Linked DNA regions of Elephas maximus indicus. The protein of the gene in region 1 interacts with the protein of each later gene in a pairwise test. Links are inferred from orthologs where the notes say so. Each region holds a gene or a part of one and is shown in the gene's direction. Other genes may lie near its edges.

Region 1 (8,134 bases):
GTGTTAGATTTATCAGGTTTTTTTTTTTTTAGCAATAGAGTCTAAGCGTCTCCAGTGGGCTAATGGAAGTTTTCAGGGCAAGTTGGAGACCATCAGAAAGATAAAGCTGTGTCTCCCAAGGGTCCTCTTGCCCTCAACCTTTAAGCTCAGAAGCCTGACTTGCTCACATCCCACAACTGACCCCTTCTCTTGGGCAATTCATAGATCCCAAGCCAAGATGCTGGAGTATTAATTTACAATGAGAATACTAACTGAGCGGTGGGGGGCATGGCTTCAGTGTGGTTGCTTAGTGTTAAAACAAACTTCTCAGATGGATTAACTATGACCACAACTTGCAGCTAATTTCAGCCTTGCAGCAAGAGAACCAGCAAAAAGGGACGAGCCAGTTCTGAATGTATTCCGAGGGCTGGGACCTACATAATTCAATGCTTTTAAGGAAGACGGCTTCACTCCTTAGGACTGTTCAGCCATCGTGTCTTTGTCACCTGTGTAGGCCATACCTGGGTCTTGGGCAGGCGTCTTTGCCTTCACCCAGAGTGGCCAGGTGCTGTCCATTAATCAGGAATAATGAGCAAAGCAGCCGTGGCTTTTAATCAGCCCCAATCCCTCCAGAGTGTCAGATGGACACCAATTAGCTGAGGTGCTAAGCAACAAAATTCTGCCTTTCCAAACAGAACATCAGAAAGCTCTCAGTCCATTATCAGCAGTGCTGGCCCCAGCGTCTTGCCCTTTCTCAGGTGTGTGTTGATCTTTTCTTGCTCCCAGGTGAGCCTGGGGCTGCTTCCGGGATTGGAACCCTTGGAGGCTGTAACTCTGCCACCTAGAGAGGATTTAAAAGTTCATTTTTTTAATCTAAACTTCCTTGGCCACAACCACTCCCCATTCCATGGCTAACAGCCACATTCTTTCTTGAGTCATCCATGCATAGGTGACTCAAACCTAAGCCTTTGAGACAGAAGAAAAGACCCCTCCCCACCCCTGGCAGACAATTGAGGACAAAGTACCCCAGCCAGGAACATTTCTGCTCCCATTCACACCTATGCTGAGCACTTCCAGGCAAAGTATGCTTAACCTGCCCTGCTGTGTGCTGTGGCACTCAAAATTTTCTTTTAGAAAAAAATAGCATGGAAAAAAAAATCCAGACCCATTGCTGAGTCAATTCCAACTCATAGCGACCCTATAGGACAAGGTTTCCAGCATGAGGGCATTGTAAATTAGAAACCCTGGTGGTGTAGCGGTTACGTGCTATGGCTACTGACCAAAAGGTTGGCAGTTCGAATCCACCAGGCGCTCCTTGAAAAGTCTATGGGGCAGTTCTACTCTGTCCTGTAGGGTCACTCTGAGTCAGAATGGAATCGATGGCAGTGGGTTCGGTTCGGTTACATAGTAAATTAAAAAAAAAAAGAGTCCTCAGGCCATCCCCTGACTTCTCCTAGGGTCTTGAGTTTCCTACCAGAAACTTTCAATGCCTCCAAGTCTATGTGCATTTTTTCTTTTAAACACAAATATGTGTACCTTCTAATCTACCCTCTGTTATGAAAGTTCTTTTTTCACTTAACAAAAGACCTTGGCAGTCTGTTCCTGATCAGCACCTGGGAGTCTTCCTTGTTCTTTGTAAGGGCTACCTAGTGTTCCAGGATTATTTAACCAACCCCCTTCTGTGAGGCATTTAAGTTGTTTCTGGGCCTTTGCTGTGTATGTTGGGTTAAAGTTTAGTTCTCAAGTGGCCAATCTTGTTCCCTCATTTCCAGGTTCCCAAGAACATCCTACAGCAGCCTCAGAACATGCTCAGTTCCCTCTGGCCTGAAAAATCAAAGTCCATGCCCCCCAACCTCCCTCTTGCTGCTGCCCTATTTTGCTTCTTTTTATAACCAGAACTCTTTATTTTTCTCAAATAAAGCTAGTCCTTTTCCAGTTATAAAAATGGAAACCATTCATTGGGACACACTCAAATGATATAGAAAAAGTACAAAGAAAGTAAAAATCACCTGCCATCGCCCCTTTTTGGCTAGTGTGCTTCCAGGCACCATCTGCACATGAACAGCCATAGGCAATGTTATGTAAATTGTATCACTCCACCCACATGTGTCTGTCATCTGCCCCCCCCCTCCAAATACATCAGGAAACACAAAGATTTTTGTTAGAAGAGCTGGCTACGCTTCCAGACTCCATTCCTAAACTTCACAACCCAGAGACATGTGCTTGAGCCTCTACTGTACAACAGAAACCATTCTATGCTAACCTTCCTGTAGCTAAGCCTGAGGTTTGGGACCTTTCTTGAAGTCATCTGGCCAACTAAAAGATGAGAGAACCCCTGACCAGAGGTAGGAGCTCTATGTTGTGGCCTAGGCTCCCCTTCCAGGGGACCAGCTTGTTGGGCCTCTCAGGTGTATGTGACAGCACTGACCACCTCCTTCATGAGACATTCCCTTTAGTTTCTCTGATATTGTGCACACCCAGTGTCCACTAGTTCAGCCACTCTCCAGCTTCCTTCTCAGGCTACTCTACCTCTCATTTGTTCTTCAAAAGCTAGTGTTCCTCAGCCTTGTCCTAGACTCAGCTTTTCTTGTCCTCTGTGGTCTCTCTGGGTGATCTCCATCTCACTGCCTGTGACTCCAAATTCCCTATCTCCAGCCCACATCTTTCTAGAGACTCATACCTAGTTATCTCCCACCCCTCCTGTACCTCACACTCTTTAACTTGTCAACTCCCTGGAGCTGGTCCTTTTCTTCTGTTCTCTGCCTCATGGGAGGGTATTCTCATCCACCCAATCTACCAGGTCGTGTCCTACTTCCTGCCTCTATGGGAGCTGTGGGACTTCTCTACCTGGGCCTTATCCTGGACTCTCACATTGGTCTCCAGTCTTGGCCTCTCCAGCCACAACTAGAGGACCTCATCAAGCCTCCAGCTCTGAACCTGAAGTTCCCTCCCCTCCCCAGGAATCCCTGGGGATGCGAACAGTTAAGAGCTTGACTTCTAACTGAAAGGCTGGCAGTTCAAAAACCACTTAGAGGTGCCTCAGGAGAAAGGTCTGGAAATCTGCTTCCAAAAGGTCAGTCTTGAAAACCTGATGAAGTGCAGTCCTAGTCCGCACACATGGGATCATCTCAGTGGCAGCAGGGTTCTTCCCCCATGAGCCTAGGTTCCAGAAACTTTCCAACCCAGCCTCCTGCCATTGCTCTGCCTATTTGAGAGTGTAGGTGTGTGTGTGTGCAGCGGGGTTCTTGGGCAATAACCATTGCTCCAGCATTTTACTGAGGAAAAACGAAATCGTCAGAAAATAGCTTTTCAGTGTAGAAAGGCTTTTCTAATGATTCAGACCATTTCATCTGCGCTACCCCTGCTCACCACGAGGCCAACCATATTGGGGTGCTCAGGTCTGGAGTTAGATACTACCTGGATTTAAAGAACTGCTCTGCTAGTTGCCAACTGTATGATCTTAGAGACACTACTTAAGCCCTGTGCCTCGGTACTGTAGTCTTTATAATGGACGATAATGATAGTACCTACTTCATTGAGAGGATTCAATGAGGTGATGCATGCCACGTACATACTAAGTACTTTAGAAATGTTATAGATGGTTACAGTTGAGAGAACTGAGGCTCTCCAAGGGGAAGTGAGAAGTTTTCGTCCTAATATAGACACTGCAGGTACCTAGTATAAATCACAGGTAGAGTGCCACCCTCCATTTTTCCATGAATTATGCTCTGAGAGTAATTGTGTAAATCTGACATTGGGGCCTCCCCAGACCCAAGGTCTGTGTCCTCTAAGGCAGCTCTCAGGCTGTAAAAGGTCCTGGCCTAGGAACCAGAGACTGGGGCTGCTGCAGATTCTTTCTTCACTAACCTTGGGCAGGCTACTCCCCCCTTCTGGGCTTCAGTTTCCTCTTTTATAAAATGAAGCTTTTAAGCTGAATGAGAGGCAAGGTTTCTTCCTCCTTCTCCAGCAGTCTGAATCTGTGTTAAATTCCTGATAAGGTAGGAGTACATTAGGTCATGTAAAGATACTTAACTGCATGTAGCCAGCCCAAGATTCCAAAGACCCTGCGTTTCCTGAAAGGGCTTGCGAAATGGTCTATGGATGTAAACATTCACATTTGAGCTTTTTTCTGAGAGTCGCTTTCTTTAGTTTTTCAAAGGAGGTGTGTGATCTCAAGAGATTAAGCCACCAGCCTGGTTTCAGGCCTTATTATCTTCTGTCAGGACTATGGCAATAGCCTCTGGTCTCCCCACCTCCTTTCTCCTCCTCGCCAATAGATCCTCCGCTTACCACACAGGGCATCTTTCTAAACTGCACTGCTGACCCTTTCATTCCCGATTAAATATTTCCATTGGCTCCAGTTGCCCAAATTCCTTGCATGACTTTTAAAGTCCATCATGATCTTACTCAGCCCTCTCTCCATATTCATAGCCTGCCACACTTAACCCATTGTCTCCTTCCTCCCCCTCCTCTCCAGCCCTCTGCTTTTACCTTAGGGCCACAGGGAACTTTGAAACTTTTCACTGGTTCCTGAATGTGTCAAGAACTTTCATATCTCTCTTCCTTTGCACATCAAAATCCACCTACTTCAAAATCCACCTCAGAGGTCATCTCCTTTGTGAATCTTCGTGACTACCAACCCCCACCCAAAGTTAGGCACACCTCTTTCTGGCTTCCACTTCTTTATCACAGCATTTATCGCCCTAGATTGTAGTTGTGTGTTTAAGTGTCTGTCTCTCCAACAAGATAGGAAGTTCTCCCAGGAGAGAAACGAACTTTGACCATTTAACCTCCAATATTTTTTTTTTAGTCAGCACAGGGCCTGGCATCATATAGTACTGGTAAAAAACAAAACAAATTCTTTCGAACGAGTCAGTGAATTAAAGAAGTCACAAGTGAATAGGTGAAGAGTGAGTTTAGACCTGCACAGGTGCGAATTGCTTTCATCCCTGTGCCCGCTGTCCCGCCGGAACTACATTTCCCAGAAGACCGCGCGTCGTGGGCATGCGTACAGAGCGCTCGGAAGCTGCGACGCCGAGTTTCACTCTAGCTGTCTCCTCAGAGTCGGATCCTTAACTGGAGTGCTGCCCAGGTGAAGCCGGAGTCCCAGCGCGAGCGCCAGCGTTCCCCTCAACCTGTCCTCCTCTCCCGCCTCAGCTTTGGTGAGAGGGACGGGCAGGTCGTCTGCCCGTCGCCTGGGTTGGGGTCCCAGGGGCGGGGGGAGACTGAGCCGAGCTGGGACCGGAAGGGGGAGGCGTGGGAGTGAGGAAGGGCTGTGCTGGGGTCCCGGAGCCCTGGGGGTGAGGGTCTGGGGCTGGGAGGACTGGCCTCCGGGCTGGGGGTCCCAGAGGCGGAAGTTGGGGGAACTGGGAGGCGCTAGGGGCTTAGGACAGGACTGGGTGCCGGGGAGGAGGGTGAACGCTTAGTTAGAAGCTGAAAGGCTGCAGGGGGAGGGGCACAGACCCTAAGAGTTGGAGTCCGTCGGGAGACGTGCGCCCTTTTCCGCTAGGACCTGGAGGAGGTGGTGGCATTGCCACCGGGCTACCTGATTAGGGTATGAGGTCTGCCGCCAGGTGAAGGACTAACTGGGACCCGGGGTTGTGCTTTGGAAGACTTTACTTCGTAACTCAGTTTCCCTCCTCTCAAGTGGGGTTCTCTTTCCCGGAAGCTGTTTCCTGGTCGCTTTTGGGTGATCTGTAAACTATGCTGAAGAGGATTTAAAAGACTCTTCCTTTTTCTGGAGCTATTCTTTTTCATCCTTCCTTTCTCTGTCTGCTGCTGCCTTCCACACAGGTTCCACTTCCCTTAGCGCCCACAGCTGTAGACATAGGGTGTGTACAGACTCTTGGACCATGAATTAAAAGAAAACTCAAAATATTTCTGCATGCTATCCTAGCCCCTCTAGAATTCTGGAAAGTAGAATTTCTGGTAGCCAAAATCAGGCCTTACTTGAGCCATCAGGTTAAGTAAGCCTCTTATTCATTTGCTTTGTGACCATGGCCAAACTTTTACCATCTGGTGTGTTGACTTCCTGGATGTCTGCACTGTAGACGGGGTTATGAAATCCTTTTAGGCCTTCTAAGCAAGGGCTGGAAACCCTGGTGGCGTAGTGGTTAAAAGCTACGCCTGCTAACCAAAAGGTCTGCAGTTTGAATCTACCAGGTGCTCCTTGGAAACTCTGTAAGGCAGTTCTACTCTGTCCTGTAGGTAGGGTCGCTATGAATCGGAATCAACTCGACGGCAGTGGGTTTGGTCCTCGTTTATTCAAGGGCTCAGAAACCCTGGTGGTGTAGTGGTTAAGAGCTACGGCTGCTAACCAAAAAGTCATCAGTTTGAGTTCACCAGGCACTCCTTGGAAACTATGGGGCAGTTCTCCTCTGTTGTGTAGGGTCGCTGTGAGTTGGAATCGACTCGATGGCAACAGTTTTTTTTTTTTTTTTTTTGGTTGGATACAAGCAGGTATAAAAGCGTGTGTGTGTGTGTGTGTGTATTGAACTATGCCCTTGACTGTTGAGTGGGTGGAGGGAGACTACTGTACCTTCTTGCTCTGCCCAGGCTGAGTTGGGAAATCTGATGGTTTGTCCTTTTCCCGAGCTGCAGCACACGGATCCAGCATCTGTGCGTTCGTTTTCACTAACTGCTGTTTCTCAATTTAAAACCTGATCTCTCCTTTCTTACCGGCAAAGGTGCCTTGGAATGTGTGTCGCAGAGTCAGCAAGCCTTTCACATTTGCCTGTTTTTTGTTGTTTGCTTTTTATATCAAGATGGGAACTCAAACAAGTTATTCCTGCTAACGATCTGGTGTCTCCATCAAGAAGGGAGTTTGTGCCAGCTCTCCTTAGAGAAAAGGTGAGAGCCATGGCGACTTCATTTTGCTGCCTTCACAATTTCATTTTCAACAGAGAAGGTAGGGACTGAAGAGGGTGGAATTTGAGGGCTCCAGGATGAAAAGTGAGCCTTGGGAAGTTGATTGTTGATTGCCAGCTGACTCAGATAAATTAAAGTGGCTTCTTGCTAATTGCTTCTCCAGTTTAGCCAGTCTTAGAGGATGCTTTCCACATGATTTCCACTTTAAGACATACTTAATGGGATGAAGGACGGAATCACGATTTCTATATTTGAACTGGAAAATTTTCTTTGTCACATAACCTTTAGTGGGTGCCTCCTTTCTATCAAGCCATGTTCTCAGTGCTGGGGGTACAATGATGAGAAACAAGATCTCTGCCCTGTGGGAGCTCATTGTTGGGTGGAAGAGATAGACAAACGACAGCCACAACAGTGTTGTCAGTGTGATACCTGTTGAGGTGCAGGGGAAGCACCAGGCAGAGGCCTCAGATTGATCCAGGAAGGGAAGAGGGAGAAGAGAGAGCCAGGAAGACTTACTGTAGGGGCTGATAGCTGAGGTGGGTTGGGAAGGGGCAGTAGGATTTTGGAAGTGTGGAGAAACAGCGTGGCTGGGCTTCGGGGTAGACGAAGTCGTGAAATTGTTAGACACAGGCACTGTAAGAAGTGCAGTGTGGCTGGAACAACAAAGGGTGGGTGCAGGGCACAGGAAGCTGGAAAGGGAGGCAGGGGGCTGAATATGGAGGGTTTTGTAAGCCATGCCATTGCTCTGGGGAGCGAAAGGATTTTGAGCAGAACACGATGGGCGTTTTAAAAGAGCACCCTGGCTGGAAAGTGTGGCATACATTGGATTAGATTAATCTCTTTGCTTTTAAGCCTTGTGATTCCTTTTGCCATTCTTTCACCTATCTTCTTGACTATCTCCTTATACCATGCCAGCTTCTGGTAGTGGGAGGTAGACGTGAGGTTTTACCCTCAGGTTGCTATAGGCTAGTTGAAGAGATAAAATGGAGAAATGTAGAGGAAAGACAGTGCTGTGCAAGTTTTAAGGGGGTAGCTACTTTCTGTTGCACTCATCAAGGTGCTGTTTAAATTGGGTTTTGAAAGTATAGGTAAGTTGAGGCTGGGTTGTTAAGTAGATGGGATTCTGGGTAAAGCAGAGACGTGGAGGTGGGGAAATGCTGGAAGTATATGGGGGAGAAAGTTATCACTTAAATGCTTTTGGAGGGATTGGGGAAGGGAGGTGTAGATGAGAGAGGTTATTGAAGGGAAGTAACTCTGGCAAATATAGGTGGGTAGGGAGGGACCAGGT
Region 2 (7,970 bases), on another chromosome or scaffold:
TGATATATCTTAGATGCCCGCTTGCTGGTGTTTAAGACCCCAGACGCCACTCTCCGAAGTGGGATGCAGACTGTCTTCTTAACAGATTTCATTATGCCCGTTGACCTAGATGTCCCCTGAAACCATGGTCCCCAAACCCCCGCCCCTGCTACGCTGGCCTTCGAAGTGTTCAGTTTATTCAGGAAACTGCTTTTGGTTTAGTCCAGTTGCCTAAGACATTTTTTAAATGCTGCTATGAGCGTTCTTATACCTGGTTTTTGGAACACATATGTATGGATTTCTGTTGCATATATAATTAGAAGTAGACTTTCTGGGTCATAGGTTATGTATGAGTCCTGGCTCTGCCACTTAACAACTGTATGACCTTGGGCAAATACCCATAATCTCTAGAGAATACCAGTTTCCTTGTCTGTACCAAGGAGCTAATCTTGCCTTCCTGAGTGTCAACTTGAAAAACTGTTTTTGTTAATTAACACAAGGACAGAGTGCTGAGAAACCTTATTTTCTAAAATCAGATTTTCAGAAAATTTGCTGTTGGAAATTATATAAGAATGGAACATTCTACTCTTGCTTTGAGAACCTGGGTTACTTTGACAGAGAGAAGCAGTTTCAATTTCCAACCCAGGTGCAGAGCTTCAGATAAGGGATTTCCAGATACAACATTCCACATTTATCTTCACATTGTAGTTTCCAAGGAAACAGGATTCCCAAGCCTTTGAGTTAGTTCAGGCCTGATGTCAATCCTATTATACATAGCCTGGGTGTGCTTTGAGGCTATCAAAATACTGCTTCTTTTACGTTTTACCTACCCTCCATCTTTCCCTCAAAGCCTAGAATAACTAACTCTGTCTCTTCCTGTGCTTGATGAGATGTTCCAGGATCCACTTGTTTTACAGTCTCCCTGGCTGCAGCAAGTTAATAAGCTTAATTTTGTCAGACCACAGATGGTCTTTACCTTGGGGATTAGCAATAATGTATGTAAAATGTGTGCACATTGCTTGGCGCCTAATAGGTATTTAAGAAATGGTAGTTATTTTTATTATTTATGTATGAGTTCAATAAATATTTGGCATGTATAAGGCACAAATTTACTGCTATGAAAGATGAACAGATGGAAACTACTTTTATTTCAAATGGAGGAAAAAAACAACTGTAACTTCAATTCCTAGGCGATAAATACCTTTACTGAACTTTACTTTGTTGTTGTTAGGTGCCGTGGAGTCAATTCCGACTCACAGCGACACTATGTACAACAGAAGGAAGACTGCCTAACCCTGCGCCATCCTCATGGTCGTTATGTTTGAGCCCATTGTTGCAGCTACTGTGTCAATTCATCTTGTTGAGGGTCTTCTGCTTTTTCGACGACCCTCTACTTTACCCTTCTCCAGGGACTAATCCCTCCTGATAACACATCCAAAGTATGTAAGACAAAGTCTTGTCATCCTTGCTTCTAAGGAGCATTCTGGCTGTACTCCTTCCGAGACAGACTTGTTTGTTCTTTTGGCAGTCCGTGGTATATTCAACATCCTTTGCCAAACCACAATTCAAAGGCATGGATTCTTCTCTGGTCTCCCTTATTCATCGTCCAGCTTTCGCATGCATATGAGGTGATTGAAAACACCATGCTTTGGGTCAGGAGCACCTTAGTCCTCAAAATGACATCTTTGCTTTTTTAACACTTGAAAGAGGTCTTTTGCAGCAGATTTATCCAGTGCAGTGATGTGTTGTTTGATTTCTTGAGTGCTGCTTCCAAGGCTGTTGATGGTGTATCCAAGTAAAATGAAATCCTTAGCAACGCCAATCTTTTCTCCATTTATCGTGATGCTGCTTATTGTTCAATTGTGAGGATTTTTGTTTTCTTTATATTGAGGTGTAAGTCATACTGAACACTGTAGTCTTTGATCTTCATCAGTAAGTACTTCAAGTCCTCTTCACTTTCAGCAAGCAAGGTTGTGTCATCTGCATAATGCAGGTTGTTAATGAGTCTCCAATCCTGATGCCCTGTTCCTCTTCATATAGTCCAGCTTCTTGGATTATTTGCTCAGCATACAGATTGAATAGGTATGGTGAAGGAATACAACCCTGATGCACACCTTTCCTGACTTTAAACCACACAGTATCCCCTTGTTCTGCTCCAAAGGCTGCCTCTTGGTCTATGTACAGGTTCCTCATGAGCACAATTAAGTGTTCTGGAATTCCCATTCTTTGCAACGTTATACATAATTTGTTATGATTCACACAGTCAAATGCCTTTGCATAGTCAATAAAACACAGGTAAACATCTTTCCAGTATTCTCTGCTTTCAGCCATGATCCATCTGACATCAGCAATGATACCCCTGGTTCCACGTCCTCTTCTGAATCTGGCTTGAATTTCTGGCAGTTCCCTGTTGATGTACTGCTGCAGCTGCTTTTGAATGATCTTCAGCAAAATTTTACTTGCATGTGATATTAATGATACTGTTCCATAATTTCTGCATTGGGTTGGATCATCTTTCTTGGCAATAGGCGTAAATATGGATCTCTTCCAGTTGGATGGCCAGGTAGCTGTCTTCCAAATTTCTTGAGATAGACAAGTGAGCACTTCCAGTGCTGCATCCGTTTGTTGAAACATCTCTGTTGGTATTCTGTCAATTCCTGGAGCCTTGTTTTTCACCAACGTCTTCAGTGCAGTTTGGACTTCTTCCTTCACTACCATCGGTTCTTGATCATATACCACCTCCTGAAATGATGAACGGCGACTAATTCTTTTTGGTACAGTGACTGTGTGTATTCCTTTCTTGTTCTTTTGATGGTTCCTGCATAGTTCAGTATTTTGCCCATAGAATCCTTCAATGCTGCAACTTGAGGCTTTAGTTTTTTCTTCGGTTCTTTCAGCTTGAGAAATGTCAAGCATGTTCTTCTCTTTTGGTCTTTGCACATGTCATTATAATACCTTACTTTGTCTTCTTGAGCTGCTCGTTAAAATCTCTTCAGTTCTTTGACTTCATCATTTCTTCCATTCACTTTAGCTACTCGATGTTCAAGAACAAGTTTCAGAGTCTTTTCTGATATCCATTTTGGTCTTTTCTTTCTTTCCTGTCTTTTCAGTGACCTCTTGCTTTCTTCATGCATGATGTCCCTGATGTCATGCCACAACTCGTCTGGTCTTTGGTCATTAGTGTTCAGTGCATCAAATCTATTCTTGAGATGCTCTCTAAATTCAGGTGGGATATACTCAAGGTGTATACGTTGACTCTCATGGACTTGTTCCAATTTTCTTCAGCTTCAGCTTAACTTGCATATGAACAATTGATGGTCTGTTCAGCAGTTGGCCCCTGGCCTTCTTCTGAGTGATGATATTGAGCTTTTCTGTCATCTCTTTCCACAGGTGTAGTTGATTTGATTCCTGTGTATTCCATCAGGCGGAGTCCACGTATATAGTCGCTGTTTATGTTGTTGAAAAAAGGTATTTGCAATGAAGAAGTCATTGGTCTTGCAAAATTCTATCATGTGATCTCTGGTATCATTTCCATTATTAAGATAGTACTTTTCAACTTTACTTTATACAGTGTCAAATGTAATGAAAATGTAAATGAAAACATCCTCAACAGTATTTTATGAGTAAAACGTACAATTTATATAATTTTCTGTAAGACTTGACATGAAACTATGGATTGTAAGAAATGACAGGGTTTTAATAAAACAAGAGCCCCAAATGTCATGTCCTTTTCTATGAAGAAAGAAATGTTCTCATAAATGCACTAAAGAAAAAGAGAGTCTTGCTTATAATAGCTCTGAGCCTGAATGCAGGCTCATTTACCCATTTGGGGCCCCTTCCCACATATGTAAACACAGGGAAGCAGCTTCCTCTTTCTCTGCCGTTCCCCACAGACTGCACAGCAACCTAGGGCAGGGCTGCTGGAGAACACAGGAAAGCACACTACCAGCTCCCCTTCACTCCTCCAGTGTCTTGACTCCCTCCCAAATCAAAATCCTACCCATGCCTTTCCTTTCACTGACAAAATGCAGTCTTACTGGAACATTGAGGTCTTATTCTCCAAATTACTTAAGGGAATGATTTTTACATTTTGGGACTATAGTTCTCCAAGAAATCCCCGTCTGGGATACAGATGAAGAGGCTATTTGGGAGGGGTTTACATGGAGAATGAATTTGAGAATAAGGGGATAAACTTTAGGGCAATAGGTGATGATGGAGTTAGCTTAGTGTACAGATTTTGCAGTCAAACTTCAGTAAAGAGAATCTCTATGATCTTAATTTTCTCATCTGTAAAAAGGAAAATAATAATGCTTAGTTTGCCTGGTTACTTCAAGATTTTAAAAAATTTGTCCATTATCTATTCTGAAGATTAAAAATATAGATAGAACATCGTGACTTGCCGTGAAAAAACTTATCAACAAGTGAATTGCAGTGAGGATTCACACATAGTAGATGCTCAATAAATATTATTTTATTGTTTGGAATTACAAGAGGGGTGGAGGGAAAAATGAAAATCGTTTGTGAACCGTGAAAGTGCCCCGCAAATACTACCAAAGCCCTAGAGTTCAGAAGTGGAGCGAGCAATTTCAGGGGCTTGGTTTCGAGGTTATCGAATTTTCCCATATTTGGGCCTGAATTCTCAGAATAGAACATAAAAGGATGTCAGGGCTGAGATCATCTGGTACAATTTTATGCAAATCGAAAATTCTTGCCGCCTGTCACTGTGTCTTTGCAAGAAACAACACCGCCACCCAAGTAGCCGAGTCCCAATTATGTGACGTCAGGAGCCCGCATCCCCAAGTTTCCGCGCGTCTAGTCTAAACTCTCCCCAGGCTTTGGTTTCAGCGGCGCCCGCGCGCTGCGGGGCGGGGCGGGGCGGGGCAGGGCGGACGCGTGCGCGCTGCATGGGGGCGGAGCTAGTGCGCACGCAGCTTCAGCCCCTTCCACGCCCTTTCTGTGCCCGGTTTCCCCGTCAGGTTGCCGGTCCCGTCTGACAGCTGCTTCCGGTTGGAGCACCGCGCAGGGCGAGCCGGTCTCAGCTCCTTATCATGTCCTACGGCCCCTTACACATGTACCGGAACCCGGGGCCCTCAGGGCCCCCACTCCGGGACTTCAACAGCATCATCCAGACATGCAGCGGCAACATCCAGCGGATCAGCCAAGCCAGTGAGACAGGGGACTGGGCTGGGGGGCGGGGGCCGTCCCGGGACAGGCCTGGTGAGGCTGCCGGGACGCGGAACCCAACCGGCTCTGAGACCAAAGCCACACCTGAGGCTGTCTTGGACTCTCCACGCTGGGGCCGCCGGGCTGCCATCCCCTAATCTGTCAGGCCCGACTCCCCGAGGGTCCCGAGCCGCTGCTGAAGCTCGAGTTTCTTCTCAGGAGTTCTGTCGCCACGGTGCTGAGGCCTCAACAGCACAGCTAACAGCCCTAGGGTGGGGGTGTGTGTGTGTGTCCTGGAGAGCAGTGAATGCGTGGACTTGGCGCAGTGGTCAGCCGAGTTTTTCCTGTCACCCGCTTTCCCCCTACCCACCTCGCTTTCTTCTTGGGCCAGTTTGGATCGGAGGTTGTTTACTGATTTAGGCTTTAGGTTTACATTCTGCTCAGCCACTGGCTCCTAGGAAATCAGCAACTTTCAATTAAAGGAAGTGGAGAGTGTATGTTTTCGGGTGACTTATACATAATTCTTGTAAATGAGTTGAGGGATCAGATGTGATGATTAGTATTTGAGTGAGATGACTTCTGTTTTAATGAAGAGGATTCACCAAAAACGTTTCAATTTACATTATTATTATTTTTTCGTAACAAAGGATTTGGGTATATTTTTGGATTTCAAGCATATGAGGCTTTTGTTCTTCTTAATATTTAGCTACTCTTGAACAAATCTGATGCACAGAGAAGTCCAGGGACTTGGCGACAATCACATAGCAAGTAAGACTTGGTAGGTAGTGGTGAAATTCAGAATGTCATTGTTTGTCCTAAAACTCCCTCCTCACCATTAGGGTCTGAGTGAGGCTGTAGCTGAATGAGTCAAATACAACCTGTATCTTGGGCCTGAAAATCAGCTCAGAGCTTTGTAAACAGGAGGTGGGCAGCAGCAACTTTACTTGGAACAAATGGTGATCATTATCGTCGCTTATGATTGTGTTTTTTTGAGCTTGGCTGTACTCTGTTAATAGGTAGAACTAGTTGGTCCTGTACTACAATTTTGTTCTATATTTTGAAGAATAATCTATCACTTTGCTTTTCAATTTAAATGGTGATTGTGGAACTTGAGAGGCAGAAAGTTTCTGATGGGAAGGGATTGAGACTGGCTGATTTGGAAGTGGAAAGAAGAATATAATCCTGTTAAACCCAGAATTAAAAAAAAAAAAAAAGATTAATATGACCACTGGTTAGAAAGCTCCAATTTTCTCTTGTGAGGGAGCAGTAATGCAGGTTAGATCAGAAAATTCTGGTTCAAGGCAGAAAGCTGTTGTTGAGGCTAAATCGAATTTTAATGTCTGTGTATTTGTGAAATATTCATTCAACATATATTTGTTTGAGTATCAGGCTATATAGAAAATAGAGGAACCGAAACAAAATTCTTTCCCCAGGGAGCCTGTGCAGTTCATAAACAACTGTGAAAATGGCATGGGGGTGGTGTCTGACCTCCCCATCCAACTTCACAAGGCAGGGAGGAGATTCATTGTCAGCATCAACAGCTCACGGCTGATTCATGTAAGGTGGACGTCAGACATAACTCCTCTCCAACTTTTTACCAATTCTGACACCACCCCTCCCATGGCATTTTCTACTTCTCTGCTGAGTTTGATAATTCACTGCAATGGCCATACAGAACTCACAGTTACGGAGTTTATTAGGGAAGTAACAGGTTACAACTGAGGCTGAGGAACGCTCAGGATACAGCTGTTCGATCAGGACAGCCTCTTCTCGGTTGTGCAGCAGGCAGGCCTCTCTCTGGCCCATGGGCTCACCCCCCGGCCCGGGGCCTCTTGGGCTGGCCAGACCTCTGCCCTGCTTGGGCAAGCGTTACAAAGCTCTTTAGCTCTCCTGGTAAGTGCCCGGAGGCAACCAACTCGACTAGTAAGCCTCGGCTGAAGGCGTTCAGCTCTGGCTCCGTGGGTCAGCGAACCTAGCTCTACTGACAAGTGTCCGGAGCCACTCCAACCCACCAGCAAGCCTCTTACCTGAGGGTGCTCAGATTTCTCGCTCAGTGGGTCAACACACCCACAACATAGTCTCCTGCTGGCCTCCTGGTTCTGCTGCCTCTGCTGCCGCTGTTTCTATGCTGCCACCCTCTTCGGTGTTACAGCTCTGTCTCTTGGTCTCCTGGTTCTAGGAGGTTCCCAGTGCAGGGACCCAGCATCCAAAGGACACTCTCTGCTCCTGTCTCTTCTTGGTGGTAGTCAGATTCCCCCTCTGCTCTGGAATTGGCTCTCTTTTAAGCTTAGCAGGGTGGCAAAACTGACCAATCCCCTCATTAGTGTCCATACACCTTATTTGCATGGTCCTACCCAATCATTGGAGCCCTGGTGGTGCAGTGGTTAAGAGTTCGGCTGCTAACCAAAAGGTTAGCAGTTCAAATCCACCAGCTCTTCCTTGGAAACTCTATACTGGAGTTCTACTCTGTCCTAAAGAGTCACTATGAGTTAGAGTCAAGTCAATGGCAGTAGATTGGGGACCCAATCATTGTGTGGGAGTCACAAAGACTATGGCTAGAAGGGCCATATTAAGTACTTCACTGCACCACAACAACCAAAATGTAAGGTTGAAAGGAATCAGTGCTATAGAAGAGGTACAAATAACATTATGTGGGTATTCAGGAGAGGGAGACCATTTTCACTTGAGAGGAATCAGGGAAGGCATTTGAGCTTGGTTGGAAAGATGGTGGTAAGGGTTTGGATTTTTGAAGGTAAAGAGGAAAGAGTATTCCAGAAAGAGGGAATAAAATGAGGAACAGCATGGTAGTGGGAAGGCAGGGGGTGTAT
Region 3 (7,478 bases), on another chromosome or scaffold:
CCGGGGAAGGGGTCAGAACCCGGTTTTCAGCAAGAGCGGGGGCTAATCTCATAATTATTCCTTTAAAAAGTAATTTGTAAGCACTACGGCTGCTAGCCAAAAGGTCGGCAGTTCGAATCCACCAGGCGCTCCTTGGAAACTATGGGGGCAGTTCTACTCCGTCCTGTAGGGTCGCTATGAGTCGGAATGGACTCGAAGGCAGTGGGTGGGTAATCGTTCGGGATGTAAATACGTTCTTTAATTTGGGTCTGCTTTGATAATCTAAGGGATGATGGACGTAGGTGGGACATTTTGATAAACATCATTTTGAAAGAACGTGGCATTTCTGGTGGAGAGAGCAAAGTCTACCGTTATGCATCAGAATGCTTGAGAGACTATGTTAAAAACAGATGAGGCAATATAATTGTTGGGTATCGGGATTAGAATCTCAGGTAATTCGTTCTTTTGCTCTATCTTCTACGTATATTAATCTTTGTAATTTAAAAGGAAGTGTTTAAATGGAGACTTTAGGGAGCCATCTTTTTAGGGAGGATTCTTATCAGGAATTACATGGCCAAGTAGAGTTTTAAAATTTAATTTGGTTTCAAAGTCCTCCTTATCAACACTGTAAAGTTAGTTTTTCTTATATGCTCTTTTATACAAATCACAGTTATATAAGTTATACAATAACATATCCCAGAAAACAAAAAACCCATATTAGTTATGTAATTTGGGATAATCAACAAGCATGCTTTCTAGGTGATTTTAGCTGATTTGCTGATACTTTCTTCCTGTTATGAGCATTCACCACCCTCAGCTTTGACTCATTTAGGAAGGAATGAAAGACATTTCCCCATAAGTTATAATGAAAATAGTCCTGCCAGGAAAGATTAGAAGATAGGAAGATAGTTTATAATAACAATCGCTAGTACAGCAGCACTTACTTGGTGTCAGACTTTGTATTAAGTACTTCTCTATATATAAAATCAAAGATGAAGGTGCCAGAAGGGGTCTAGTTTCCGCCAATAAATTTGCTGTGTAATCTTCCAGAAGTCCTTTAGTAAATTCTAATGTCTTTTCAGTCCATACTCTGAGGCTATAATTCCACAGCTGGCTTCTTCAAACAGGAATTATCCTTAGAGCAAGAAAAACCGAGTAAGAAACAGCCAATTTAGAGAAGCTCAGGACAGTTGAGGTGTTAGCTTTGCGAAATGAAATGAGGGTGCTGAGGGTAATGGCCCAGCGTTAAGCACTCTCACAGGTGCTCTTGTAATTTCTAAGTTTCCGATATTTTAATTTGCTTCTCTAATGGGCTGCTCATTTCCCCCAAATGACTGAACCTTTGAGTCCCCTTATGCCAATCGTTGAACTAACAATTCAAACCTAAGTCAGTATCTTAACACATGTTTAGTACAGAACCAGGATAAATCATCTCTCTGTTCCTCTTACCCTTTCAGAAGGATTTCATCATACTGTAATTTGAAAATTGATTATTAGTTGCAAAAGGCAGCATTTAGAATTACAAATTATCCCTGCCAAGAATAACATTCAATAGCTACAATGAAACAAGGATTTGCAAGCATCTACCTTTTGCATGGTGCACAGGTAAAAGTTTATAGATGGACTCCCTTAGTAAATTATCACATTTATTCCGAGGTGATAATTGCTTTTTTTTTTTTTTACAACGATAGAGATTTTGAGAGGTAAGTGAGATGAGGCCAGAGTCCTACAGGCATAAAGAAGAGACTGGTGGAAGAGCAGGTCTTAGCTAGCATAGACCCCAAATCAAACTCATTGCTATCGAGTCAGTTCCAACTCATAGCGACCCTATAGGGCAGTAGAACTGCCCCGTAAGGTGTCAAAAGCTGTAGTTTTTACAGAAGCAGACTGCGGGTCGGTCGGTGTCTTTCTCCCGAGGAGCAGCTGGTGGGGTCAAACTGATGACCTTTCGGATAGCAGCCAAGCACTTTAACCACTGCACTGCCAGGGCTCTTGTGAATACAGACACACACACGTGCCTGCAGTGCAGGAAATTATCTCCAGCCAGACCAGAATCATAGCTGTGATGCGCTGCAAACTTATTTCATTCATGATTTGTGGTAGTTTTAAAACAGGTGCACAAATTCTTTGAATTTAATTCTACTCCCCTTAAATATAGGCCAGTCTTAGCGATTCCCATCTAAGGAAGAGAATGTGCCATGTGACAGAACTGACACTTAGTGACTTTCAAGGCTAGGTTAGAAAAGGCAGTACAGCATCTGGCTCTCTCCTCTCTGGACACTTGCCCTTTGAATGCAGCCATCAGCTTGTGTCACAATGGAGTGGCCATATCTAGTGTTCCAGCCAATAGCCCCCATGGTCCCATCTGAAAGCCAAAGCATGTAAGCGAGCCATCACATGAATCTAGCTTCGAGCGTTTGAGCTGCCACATCTGAACCCTGCCCAGATTGCATTCATGAGCAAAATAAATGGTGGTTTAAGTCACTAAATTTTCGGGGGTGGTTTGTTATACAACAATAGATAACTGAAACAATGTTTGTAACATGTTATCTTAATTTCCTCTACAAGCCTAAAAGCAGGTATGGTCATCCCTGTTTGACAGATGAGAAAACCAAATTCCAGAGGGGTGAAACGACTGAGGTTTCACACTGAACTAATAAGTAGCAGAGCCAGGATTTAATAGCTCAAAGAATGGGCCTTCTCCACTACTTCATAATGGCAAGGGGATTAGACCCGTTTCTTCTACCTTTAGGAAGAACCTGGATTCCAAAGCAGGCTTGATTTGTAATGAATAAAAAAGACCATTGTTTGTGCTGTATTGTGTATAAGGTTTAAAAAAAAAAAAAGCTTTATGGAAGTTGTATAAGGCTTTTAACTCACCTTATTTAATCTTGACAACTGCCAGGACAGTGGATTATCATCCTCTCAGTTTTATGGATGAGAAAACCAAGGCTGAGAATAAATAAGTTGCCTAACTTTCCCCAAGGAGCCATGGTGGTGCAGTAGTTAAAGCGCTCGGCTGCTAACCAGAAGCAGAAAAGACGTGGCCTTCAGCTTCCATAAAGATTTACAGCCTTGGAAACTGTATGAGGTTTTTGGTTGGTTACTTTCCACTGCCTGTAGGGGGTGGCAGAGCTTGGATGTCTACTTGGAAATGTTTTTCTCTTTTGACTCCGTGAAGAAAATTTGTAGGAAACACATTTTATTAAATATTACAGGAAGAAAAGAAAAACGTTTTCAATATTGTTTCCTCTTGCCAAGTCTCACAGGTTGTTACAAACTGTCAGAGAGGAAAAGATGAGTGGTAACTCATCTCATACTCCAATCCCGATTTCACAAGTGAAGAAAGTGAAGCTCAAAGAAAATAGGCCCCTTCAAAGAAATGAAGGCTTCGTTGCCCTTTCACGTGAAAAATCACATTTCCCTCCACGCCTATGCATCATCTCATATTATATTGCTGTAGGCCAGGCTCAGATGTGACCTCGTCTGTCAAACCTCTGACCACTCCTTCCCAGCAAGGCAGTTGCTTGCACTGCTCCAAATAGGGAACTTCTATTTCAATTTCTGTGCCCCGTCAGCCTAAGTCTCGGCAACACGTGCTGAGCACTTGACCTTCACCGTCTCATTTTCCCCAAACCACACTTGCACTTCCTCTCCCTGTGCAGGTTATGGGTGGGAAAATATATTTCAAAAAAATTGTCAGTCGCCCTTATCTCGATCAAAATCAGTCGTAGCAAATTTGGTTATTAATGCAGCAACGCGTGATCTCCCCAAATCCTCTTTATAAAGAGGTCATTTTCAGAAAAGAGAAAAGTGAAGCTCGGATAAGTCAGAGCTTTGCGCAAATCACACCACTAGTATTAAAAAGACCAGAGGTTCGAGCTCGGGCATGGAAGATCCCCAAACCCCCGAATTCGTCTAACTCAGATGCCCACTGCCGAAGCCTCAGGTCCTCCGCCCAGACGAGCGTGCTAACGAGGGGCGGCCGCGCCAGGCTGCACCGGGCCCACCTCGCGGCCACCGCCGTCCGGGGACACCAGGCGGCTGGCATCGCAGGCCCCGCGCCGCCCCCCCCGCGCGTGGGAACACGGCTGGCTGGCTGGGGCTGCCCGCGGCGACCGCCTGCGCGCCCGGAGGGGGGCTGCCGCCCCGCCGCCCCGCCGCCCCGCCGCCCCGCCGCCCCGCCGCCGCCGCCCAGGCGCCCCGTCCCTGCCGGCGGCCCGCTCGAGGCCCGGCGCCCAGGAGCGCGCCGCGACCCGCTGTTTTCCGCCCGGCAGCGTGGCGGCCACCTCACATCCGGGCGCGACGGCGGCGCCGGGCCCGGGCGTGGAGGGAGTTACTAAGGGGGAGGGGGACGGGGCGGGGGGCGGAGGGCGGAGGGCGGAGGGCCGGGCCGCGGTTACGGCGGCTGAGGAGAGACAGCCCGGGCGGGTGGGGGGGCCGAGCCGAGGCCGCGGGCGCAGCGCTCAGACCCGCGCGGGCGGTGGGGCAGGAAGCGGCGGCCGGCCGGAGGGCCGCCGAGCGACGGAGGAGCCGAGTAAGGGCCGGCGGCGGTCCCGGGGCGCGCGCTCGGCCCACCGGGGGAAGGACGCGGGCGCGCCGCTCCCGGGGTCGCGTGCATGAGCTCGGGCGCCGGGACGCGCGCGGGGGGCGGGCAGGGGCGCGAGGCCAAGCCGGGCGGCCGGCGGGCAGCGGGCGGGCTGGCGGGGCCCGAGCCGCCGGGCCGGGCCGGGGCGGACGGCGGCGGGCCTGCGCCGGCTCCAGCTTGGAGCGCCCAGGCCGGGGTACTCGGCCTCCCCGCTCCCTTCGGCCCGCCTCCTCTCCGTGAGTACCGTCCTCGCCTTTCCTCCGGAGGAGGCCACCCGGCCGGGGCCTAAGCCAAGGAACAGGGGTTGGGGGGTCGCGGCCCGGGAAATCGACGCTTGTCCCTTCTCTGCTCTGGGCGCCCCTGACATGGCCACAGGTGCGGCCGGCCCCGGCGAGGGGCGCTCGGGCCCTGTCCCCAGTCCCTGGTTGTCGGCTTATAAAGGGCAGCTGGCGCCGTCCATTGGCAAGTGACAGGCACTTTACAACAGCCCGAGTTCCCGGATCCCCTGCCTTAGCCAGCCTCCTACCTGCCCCCTCCGGGGTATTTCCCCCACCACCATTCAAATGGTCCCCATGGGTGGCAGCGACTAATCTTGGTTTCTTTTTGTATTGAAGCTGTTTAAAGACTGTACCCTGAGTTGGGCACCTTCTACCTCTGCTTTCCTTACACTGTTGGTGCTTGGGATACTTTACTGGGAGCGGTAACCGAGCACCAGTGGTTCTGTTTCCAAGTGGGTTCTGGTTTATAGCGTAATTGTTGGGTGAGGATATTTTTCTTTTTTTTTAGTGAAGGTTTGCTTTTAAAACCTCCCTTCTTAAGAGATAAAAAAGTTTCAATTCTTAAATAGTCAAGACTTAAGAAAACATAATATTCTCGGCGACAATTTTGTGCTGGCTTATTTTCCAGGTGCAAAGAATTGTAGACCGAGGAGCCATGGATAGGAGAAGTGTGGGTGAAACAGAAAATGGAGATGCTTTCCTTGACCCGAAGAAGCTGCCGCCCTCCAAATCCCCCCATCGCTATACAAAAGTAGGCTTTGATACTAATGAAATAGTGTTGCTTTGTAGGCCAGGAGGTTAGTAACATTGTGTAGGCATTTATTAGCATCATCTGAAGTGGTAGTGGTCTTATTCCGATCCACTGTACGGACTAAATAATGACTAGGTTTAGTAAAGCATCGCTTTGAACATTTTCCTGGAATTATGACTACCAAGAGTTTTAAAAAATTGCTTCTAAGTAGCTTTCAGGTGAAGGGAACATGAGTTCAGATCTCATATGAATTTATGGATTCCTATACTTTGCGGCAGTGGGTATACTTTGTCAGGAAACCCTGGTGGCATAGTGGTTAACCACTACAGCTGCTAACCAACGGGTTGGCAGTTCAAATCCGCCAGGCGCACCTTGGAAACTCTATGGGGCAGTTCTGCTGTTGCTATGAGTTGGAATTGACTTGACGGCACTGGGTTTGGTTTGGTTTTTTGGTTATACTTTGTCAGGAAACCCTGGTGGCATAGTGGCTGAGTGCTACAGCTGCTAACCAAAGGGTCGACAGTTCGAATCTGCCAGGTGCTCCAGGGAAACGCTGTGGGGCAGGTCTATTCTGTTCTATAGGGTCGCTATGAGTCAGAATCGACTTGATGGCAACGGGTGGTGGTGGTATACTTTGTCACGCAAGTTCTGTAATTCATCTGTGTAACTAGTATGATTCTTACTTGTATGGTGAGAATCCCAGCTCTAATGCCTCCCCAAATCAGTGTTCTCTGTGTTGATGTTTCCTTGAGAGTTGACCTCCCCAAAGAAATGCTCTTTAGTGTGCTTGGCCAGGGTAACCAGATTTCTAAGTTCTGCTAATTTTACTTCCTGTTACAAATTGGTTATGGACTGATAAAACTGACTTCAATCCTATTTCCCCTAGCTAAAAACTTGGGGTGACTTTAAAAAACTGCATGCCTAGACATCTGCTTTTTCCAGGAGGGAAAGAAAACATTAAGGTGCGATATTTATTGACAGTGTTGTTTCACTATCTCATTGGCTACTGAATGTTTTTAAAGAGGATGAAAAGACACAGTGAAGCTGTGACTTCATTTCTGGGTCCCTGTCATGGGCTGGAGTCCATAAAATGTGCTGACAAGTGTTAGAGCAGATGGGACCGTTGATGGGAAGGATGTTCTTTTCGGGTCTAGATCTGTGATGTTTCCTTAGCATGGACTCATTTGTGGACTCTTAACATGGCTTATTGTCCCTGGCTTCCAAGGATACTCCTTGGTTACTGTTTTAAGGCCAGACCTGTTTGTGTACCAGTGCCACTATTATCTATTGAAGAAAATATCAAATGACTGTCAGAGTAATACTCGTTTTTAACATTAAAACAAAAAAAACTGGGCCCATCCATGTTAAAAAGTGTTTTGGGATATAAAACATTTCCTGGTTAATAGCTGCCTTAGCACAATCTGTTTTGGCATAACAGAATTTGAGTTAAAATATCCTTTTAGAAAGCTTTTAAAATTCCGTTTTAGTCCTGCATTCAGATTTGTTCTTTCAAATGTAATTTCAAACCTGAGTGCTTGAGTAGTGTTTCAGAACTTAAGTTCATTACCTAAAATGTTGCCAGGTGAATTCTGAATGGGGAAAAGCTTATCAGATGAAGAGAAACTGGTTTAAATTGCTTTTATAAGCTTAGGTGGTTTCACATCTCACAGCTCTTTTTGAATTGATGTTCTGACTGGTAGTGAACTCCCGAAGTCTAGGCAGACAGTTTCCTGAATCACTTTCACACGGTGAGCTGAGAATGGCAAGTATATTTTATCTTCACGTATATTTCCATGTTCCTGCATAAGTCTGTTTTGGGAAGATATTGGTCTCTCTTAGGTTAGAACTTAATGCGTGCCCCCAGCAAAGATTAAGAAGCTCA

Evidence for each region.
Region 2: the proteins of DTX2 (region 1) and STX12 interact in binary tests that used the Homo sapiens proteins (3 or more experiments, as listed by UniProt). The two-hybrid records come from large-scale screens. The link is inferred for Elephas maximus indicus from reciprocal best matches to the Homo sapiens genes DTX2 and STX12.
Region 3: the proteins of DTX2 (region 1) and EIF4ENIF1 interact in binary tests that used the Homo sapiens proteins (3 or more experiments, as listed by UniProt). The two-hybrid records come from large-scale screens. The link is inferred for Elephas maximus indicus from reciprocal best matches to the Homo sapiens genes DTX2 and EIF4ENIF1.

The regions. Positions count from the first base shown.
Region 1 is NC_064830.1:94,110,028-94,118,161, reverse strand, and holds the start of DTX2 (probable E3 ubiquitin-protein ligase DTX2), read left to right. Parts: upstream 1-5,006; 5' UTR 5,007-5,141; intron 5,142-5,403; exon of another isoform or gene 5,404-5,533; intron 5,534-6,743; exon of another isoform or gene 6,744-6,828; intron 6,829-8,134. UniProt on the Homo sapiens protein: Regulator of Notch signaling, a signaling pathway involved in cell-cell communications that regulates a broad spectrum of cell-fate determinations.
Region 2 is NC_064821.1:68,157,894-68,165,863, forward strand, and holds the start of STX12 (syntaxin-12), read left to right. Parts: upstream 1-4,911; 5' UTR 4,912-5,027; coding exon 5,028-5,145; intron 5,146-7,970. UniProt on the Homo sapiens protein: SNARE promoting fusion of transport vesicles with target membranes. Together with SNARE STX6, promotes movement of vesicles from endosomes to the cell membrane, and may therefore function in the endocytic recycling pathway.
Region 3 is NC_064840.1:24,716,343-24,723,820, forward strand, and holds the start of EIF4ENIF1 (eukaryotic translation initiation factor 4E transporter), read left to right. Parts: upstream 1-4,419; 5' UTR 4,420-4,516; intron 4,517-4,711; exon of another isoform or gene 4,712-4,803; intron 4,804-5,473; 5' UTR 5,474-5,500; coding exon 5,501-5,596; intron 5,597-7,478. UniProt on the Homo sapiens protein: EIF4E-binding protein that regulates translation and stability of mRNAs in processing bodies (P-bodies). Plays a key role in P-bodies to coordinate the storage of translationally inactive mRNAs in the cytoplasm and prevent their degradation.